Mus musculus: one gene and its partner. The protein of the gene in region 2 interacts with the protein of the main gene of each other region in a biochemical or structural test. Links are inferred from orthologs where the notes say so. Each region holds a gene or a part of one and is shown on either strand. Other genes may lie near its edges.

Region 1 (3,750 bases), on a different chromosome or scaffold from region 2:
AAATCAATTAGTTAAAAAAGTAACAGGATGTCTTCACCCTGGAGCAGTAGAATGCCTTAACTCACAGCCAGCCATGAGAGCAATCATGGGGTCTTGAGTAATCTCAGTAAGGAGGTTCTGTATGAAGTTAAAAACTAAAACCCTGCCCTGCATTTTGGTAGCTGTGTCTCCTGACCAACAGAATGCCCCTTTGTGGTTAAATGCCCTGAGATGTCTGTCTGTTCATCTCTCTCTCACTCTCTCTTTCTCTCTCTCCAGGGCATTTTCCCCTATAGTTGCACTAAAATGAAGTGTCTGAAACGCAAAAGATCTCAATTTCATTATATTATTATAGACATTGTGGTTTTGTGACCTGCTTTCCCTTGTGGTTGTTTTCTAGAGCAGCACAGGAAGAAATACCTCAAAAGGAAGACTTGGTTGATCGTGATATGGAAGTGAAAATAATTTAAATTTCTAAAATTACTTTTGCCTTATATAGCTTACCTTTCTCTGTTAAATGTGCAGTTTGAATTGGAACTTCATGGAAGCAAGTGTATTTTATTCAAATCCATCATATCTTGTGTTGGAATATTACTTATCTCATGAATACACTACCGTCTTAATCATAAATATTTCTTTAAAACCCACAATGCCGAACTTAACTTTTGCTTCAACAGCCTATGTCTCTCAACAGTAATTTTTCCTTTTGGAGGACCAGAATGAAGAGATCCCTATTTAAACAAACAAACAAGCAAACACACAGACACCCAACTTAAAAAATTTCAATATATAAGAAACAAATGAATCAGCAAATATTAAGAACCTGTCTTATGGAGGCCAATGTGGACTTGAATTGTGTGGAAAATGAAAGAACTTGAAATTAGAGTTTTGTATATTATTGTTCTGTTTAATGTTATGCTTTCTTCGCTGGTGATACGGTAAATGTCATTAGTTTCATAGCAACACGGGAATATGATGGTTCAATTCGTGATAGCTATGACAGTTCTTGGGGCTTCTGTATATATTGAAACATGTATTAGCTTAGACTGATATTTAAGACCCAGGTCACCTGGCCTCTGAGCGATCCTTCCCATTTCGCTGGTAAGTCAGTTAATTTGTTTCAAACGGACTGTGTTTTGAGGTGACTACATCACTGACCAAAAGCCACAGAGGAAAAAGCTGTCAGGGAAACCACTAAAGGACTCTTTACAGCTAGCGAGTGGGGCGTGTCGCCGCAGAGCATGCGCAGCAGCAGAGGCGGAAGCGAGCCTCCCTGGGGCGGAAGTGACGCACCGCCGGCTCTCCGCTTAGAGAAGGTGTAGCCGGTCTACGCTGAGAGGCAGTGGTGGTGGCCGCGGAGGTTCGGGGCGCGGCGTAGCGTGCGGGGCGGAGGCCCTGACCGGTAAGGTTTGCGGACGGGCCGCGTGCTTTCGAGGTAACCGGCGCTCGCGCTCCGTCTCGGCCCTGGAACCCGGGCCTGGCGAGTTTTGGGAACGGTCTCCGTGGTGACGAAGCTCTCTTTCCCAAGGACGAGCTTCCCCCGGGCCGCGATTGTGACGTGTTTTGGGCTTGGGGTGACCGTAGAGTGGGAAGCGTGGCGGGAGCGGGCGTGCTAGGCCGCGGCTGGCCCCGGCTGGCCCCGGCGTCTAACAAGCCAGGGACGGGTGGCGGGCGCGCTAGGCCGCGGCGAGCCGGGGAGGACCCGTTGGGTTGTTTTGGTTTGAGTCTCCGCTGGAGGAAGAGGCGGGGACTCCCTGTGTCGCCTGGTTTGGCTGTTTACCTGGCTTGGCTTGATCTCCGGCTTCTCCTGGGCTGAGAGATTAGTTGAGTCTTGCTGTTTGGAAAGCAGCCCTCCCCCTCTGGTGCCCAAGAGAAGGCTTTAAGAAATCTTGGGGAGGATCGCTTCGCTCTGTGGTCGTCTGGACTTGATTTCACGACTCCGCCTCCCTCGCTCCACCCACTGCTGACTCTCCCCGGTGTTTTGGACCCGGCGGAAGGTGCAAGACGTGTTCTGGCTAGCGCTCATCGCCCGAAAACTGTACTGTTAGAACGTAGCTGGGGTGTTCGCTTGTATTTCCCTGTTGAGAAATATGAAGTACAATTTGTTCCTGAAAGTTTTGTTGGAAAACGTTGTGGCGTTTGACTATGATAGATTTCCGGCTTTATCGTTATGTTGGTATGTTAGACATTTTAATGCTAAGTATCTGCCAAGTATGCTGCTTTTTGCCAAGTGGTAAAAATTCATGATTAGGACACGAACAAATATAATTAAAATTTTAGTGTTCAATCCCAAAACATTCGAAAATGGTTATTTGAATAACATTCCTTAAAAGTGGGTTGATTAAGTGGGTTTGTGATCTCCAGGTTACCCTCTAGGTGTGGAGAAGAAGCTGAGGCCAAGGACTCGCCTCCATTCTATTCTTCTCAGGGGTAAATTGGATTTCTGTATGTCCCTTTCGAATGTTAGGCAAACGCCCTGAACTTATCTTAGATTTCTGCAAGAATATATTTGACTATGCTAGGAATGACTGGTTAACCTCCTCCCCCTCGTCTTTGTTATTTGTTAAATTTCAAATACAGTTGTATTGTATTATTTGTTTTCAAGTTATTACATTAGCTGCATACCATTTGCTCTTAGAATCACAGTCGTGTATGTGAAATGTATGTGAAATGTAACCATTGAGTACCTTTTCTAGGACAAAAATAACATCTTGGAATTATAAATTGTAACCTTTAAAGGATGCTGTTTTTAAAAAAATTTAGACTTATGCGTATGAGTGTTTTGCTTGCATTTTATGCCTGGTTATATCTGACTTAAGTCAGAAGAGGATGTCAGATCTCCTGGAACTAGAGTGATAGATGGTGTGAACCACCATGTAGGTGCTGTGAACCCAACTTAGGTCCTCTGTAAGAGCAGTAAGTGCTCTTAATTACTGAGTCAGCGCTCCATCCCCTAGGATGCTAAGTTGGTTTTTAAAAAAAGATTTATTTATTTTATTTTAATACACACACACTGTAGCTGTACAGATGGTTGTGAGCCTTCATGGGGTTGTTGGGTATTGAATTTAGGACCTCTGCTCGCTCCGGCCCAAACATTTATTTATTATTATAAATAAGTACACTGTAGCTGTCTTCAGACACACCAGAAGAGAGCATCGGATCTCATTATGGGTGATTGGCTGCTGGGATTTGAACTCAGGACCTTCGGAAGAGCAGTCAATGCTCTTACCTGCTGAACCATCTCGCCAGCCGGATGCTAAAGTTTTTATATGCAGTTCTAACTATATATTTATATTTCCTTGGAAGAATTAACTTACCTGTAAATTTTATTTTTACTTATTTATTGGCTGGGTCTTAACTATGTTGTAGCCCTGGCTGTCCTGGAGCTCTGCATGGAAACCAGGCTGGCTTCTGCCTGTTTTCTGAGTGCTGATGTTAAGGTGTTTTCAACCAAGCCCTGCTTCACCTGTGAAGCTTGTTGGTGTATTTTCTTTGGACTGATTGTTAGTATGTAAACTTTGGGCTTTCTGCACTTGTAGCTCTAAAGTTTACATTGTTCTAAATAAGCCTTAATAGAAATTACAAAGTTCTATCTTCTAATACTTGTGGGCCAAGAACAGTGTTTTACAAATGAACGTATTTTAAAAGATACAAAAATTAAGTTAAATTGGATCTGATATTTTATCAGCTGGGATTATAGCGCTTGGGAGCTGAGGCAGGGAGGAGTGTCGTGAGCTTGAGGCCAGCCTCAACTAGAGTTGCACAGCGAGT
Region 2 (3,750 bases):
TATGAGGAGTTGTTTCTCTCCTTGAAACATGCTGGGCTTCAGGATGGGCTGCAAGAACCCTCACTGGCTGAACTATCTTGCCAGCCCCTTATTTTGTTTTCATATTAACCTCTTTTTTCTAGTAAAGGAGATGTTTGCTCTCAAATTTGCATAGGAATGTAATATTTAATTTAAAAAGATGACCCACATATGACCTTATAAGGACAGTAAAATTAAACAACCGGAAAGATAAAGCGGGCCAGTTGGCTCAGTTCTATAAAACCAGCCCACAAGGATTGTCACTATTCTTAGGCTTGCGCGGGCTACATGATGAGTTCCAGGACTGCCTGGTTACAGACCGAGACTCTCTCAAGAGTCCAGATAAACAACAACAAAGGGGGCGAGGTGGAAATACAGGGGCTGTAAGAAGTAAATATGATATCTGCATGGGAGGCTAGCCAGAGAAGAAAAAATTTTCTTCCGTGGTTCAATCCTCCAAGGGCTGAACAGGAAGTTGACGCAGGCAGGTGAGGAGCACGAGCCTAGATGGGCTGCGGTGCCACCCTTAATCCCCACAAGCGAGTTCCTCCGCAATTCGCCTGTCCCACTCTCAACTTTTCTTCAACTGACTCTTTGCTGTGGTCCCTCGCTGTGGCAGTGGAAACAACTACCACTGCGAGGTAGGGAATGTCATGAGGGGCTACCTGCAGCCCTTGGCTTGCAGGGATGCAGGGATGCGGTCGGAACCTGAGGCCCCGCCCTTCTCTTGCCCCACGCCATTAGGCCACGCCCCTACCCAGCACTCCTTCAACCACCCCCTTCCCCGGCGCCTCATGAGGTCCCGCCCCTCTCAACCCTAGCTCTTGAGGCCTCCCCTTCACAGCCGCCCCGGCGTTCCTTGACTTGAGGCCACGTCCCTCTGCTCCTTCATTCCCAAGACCCTACGCTTTGCGAGTCCTCCCTGTCCTGCTGCCTAGGACCCCGCCCCTCTCAGCCCTTCTGCCCCAAGACCCCGCCCCTTAGGCTGTTCCCGCCCACTGGCCAATGAAGACCCGCCCTTTCTTTAGCCGCCCCGCCCCGGTCCCACAAAATCCCGCCTCCGGCCCCGCCTCCCGCCCCCTTGGGCGCTCCGTAGCAGTGACGTGCGCAGGCTGGGCACTCTGCAGGGCTCTCTGGCCGGCGGGTGGAGACCGATCCGGGATCTGTCCCAGCAGGAAGCGTATCCCGGCCGCCGTCGTGCTGTCGTCTCCGGTGCTCGCTCTCGGCCGCGGTGTCGCGCTTGCCCTTCGCGCCCGCAGCCCGGCAGCCTCTCCACGGCCGCGACCCCTCGCGCACCTGCCTCGCCGGGTGAGTGTGGGCGCCTGCCCGCCTGCCTGTCCTCACCGCCTTGGCCTCTGCTCTGCCCGGCGCGGACTGGAGCTCTGGCTTCCCCTTCCCGGGCCAGCGGGGCTCCTGTCACCTGACGAGTCCCACCCGACACTGCAAGATAGTTTTATTTTCTCCTTTCGAAACACAGTGAAAAAGCTACACAGTCTAGTTTGTTGTCAGAGTAAAGATCAATTGATACCATTAATAATTTAGCTGTGTCGAAGAAGACCATGGTAGCATACTATAAAGCTGGAATTTTAGTTCCTAAGCGTTCTAGTATTTTGAGTGTGAGTTTTACGGATGTGTTGCTGAAAATAACTTTGTTATTTAATTCCAAATCGTCTTAAACTAATTAAAACGTGCTAGCTGTGGATTGTATTTTAAAATAGGAAATAATTTGATAAGGCCATTCTTAGATAATCTATGTCAGGAACTTTTACACAAAGATACATTTTATCCGGCATAAAGTATGTAGGGCAGAGCTGTTTAAATCCCAATGTGGAGATACTGCTGGAGCGCTACACAAACGCTGCTCCGATTTCATATGTGTTGAATAAAACTTTAGTTTGCTCTCGTGTTACAGTTGCAGGATTTTCGAATATAGTTAGTCAGCTTGAGACTTTTAACAGCCTTTGAGGCTCGGCTGTAACACCATAAAATCTGAGTCTTGAGCTTGGTGGTGGTCATGGTCCAAAGGTTGGCTGCGGAACAGCAGCATTTCTGTACAAATTAACTCGACTTCAAGACATCTTGGCTTGTGGTTTTCCAACTGGGAAATGTTTAGTGAAAAAAAAATTACCTTAGTGCTCTCTAGCATTAATTTTAGAAATGGCCACAAATGCTACAAGGGGGACAGAGGAAGCCCAGAAACAATGTAGTTCTTCAGAACAGCTCATTGACTTTTAAATGTCTGCCCATTTTCTGTGTTTGCAGTTGCACAGGAGTAAACAGGCACAGTGATAAATAGAAGTCATTTTAGTCTGATGCTCGTCGGCCTGTAGTGTTTTTATTTCGTGTGTGTGATCTGTTACCCATTTTTTTCCCTCTTCCTTTCAAGTTTTGTATTTGTTTTCAAAAGTTACTTGTAAAAGGCAGGGACAGAATACAACCCTTAAGAAAAGAGTATTGCGATTATACAGTTAAAAAGCCGTGGAGTATAGATTTTACATATGGTCTTTAGTACCTAGACACATGAGCAAGAAAAAGTGAACAACTATGATTTTTCATAGAAGCTACAACATATTAAAAACAAAGATGCAAATTATAGTCCATGGGACTTGTCCGAAAGGGATTTTCCCTTGTTTACACGATCAAATTTTAAAATAACAGTGGCCAGGAAATCGGAGAGAAGCCGAAGGCTCCTCGCTCATCCTGTTGTGACTTTGCCTGGCGTCTGTGGTGGATCACTTATTGTTTAGACAACTGGACTGTATCTGGGTTTTGAAAGGCCTTTAGATGGTTTTAAAGATTTCCACCATGCAAGGTCTGAATAAATCCATAAGAACTCCACATAAAAAACCATTCTCTAGTTTTTAACTTTCTCTTGGTATTCAAAACTCCACTTAGGGTACAGGATTGGGAGTGTAACTCAGTGGGTAAAGACCTTGCCTTGTGTGTGTGTGTGCGCGCGCGTGTGTGTGTGTGTGTGTGTGTGTGTGTGTGTGTGTGTGTGTGAGGCCCTGGGTACTGGAGTTTCATTTATATTATTATATATATTATATTAGAACATCTTATTTAAACATTGCAATTTGAAAAACACATTGCAATTTGAATAAATCTCACACAGTATAATGGTGATTCCCAGAAAGAGATACTTTGTTAACAGTTTATGAGCTGGCGATTTAGTAGTGATGTGACACACAAAAAAAACCCCTAAAGGTTTGATTTACAAAATAATATTCCAGGTTGACAGCCTTTCCTTTTATAGAGGAGAAAACAGAGGCTCAGAGAATGAATACTTGCTTGTAGCTTTGGAGGGGCAAAGTCCAGACTCTGAGTACACATGGAAGTCTCTGACAACAAAGCCTCTCTCCTCCTTTGCCCAGAAGTTGTCTTGATTTCGGTTTACTTGGTGAACTATTGAGAGCCCTTTGTAGGCCTGATCTGGAGATTAGGAGTCGGTACCCTAGGTAAACTGTGATAGGCCATGCATGGAGTCTAGAACGAACTGAGAATTCTGTCTTCTTTCTCAAGGCCTTGAGCAGTGACCCAATGCTTTGGCATCACGTCTGGAGTGGTTCCAGCATGTATTAAGTATTATGTGCTTTTCATTTTGATGGGTTTATAGGAATTAACACTGCAATCTAATCCTGGATTGATTTCATTGTAGCTGAGCAGTATATGATGTTTCTGGTCAGGATGGAACTTTGGTTTTTGTCCTTCAAATGAGCTAGATTGTTGCTC

Evidence for each region. The genes of interacting proteins can lie anywhere in the genome.
Region 1: the proteins of Myo6 (region 2) and Tax1bp1 form a complex in vitro, tested with the Homo sapiens proteins (5 studies listed by BioGRID, with this or other methods). The link is inferred for Mus musculus from reciprocal best matches to the Homo sapiens genes MYO6 and TAX1BP1.

What each region holds. Positions count from the first base shown.
Region 1 is NC_000072.6:52,712,475-52,716,224, forward strand, and holds the start of Tax1bp1 (tax1-binding protein 1 homolog), read left to right. Parts: upstream 1-1,254; 5' UTR 1,255-1,381; intron 1,382-1,690; exon of another isoform or gene 1,691-2,155; intron 2,156-3,750.
Region 2 is NC_000075.6:80,163,904-80,167,653, forward strand, and holds the start of Myo6 (unconventional myosin-VI), read left to right. Parts: upstream 1-1,130; 5' UTR 1,131-1,326; intron 1,327-3,750. UniProt on the Homo sapiens protein: Myosins are actin-based motor molecules with ATPase activity. Unconventional myosins serve in intracellular movements. Myosin 6 is a reverse-direction motor protein that moves towards the minus-end of actin filaments.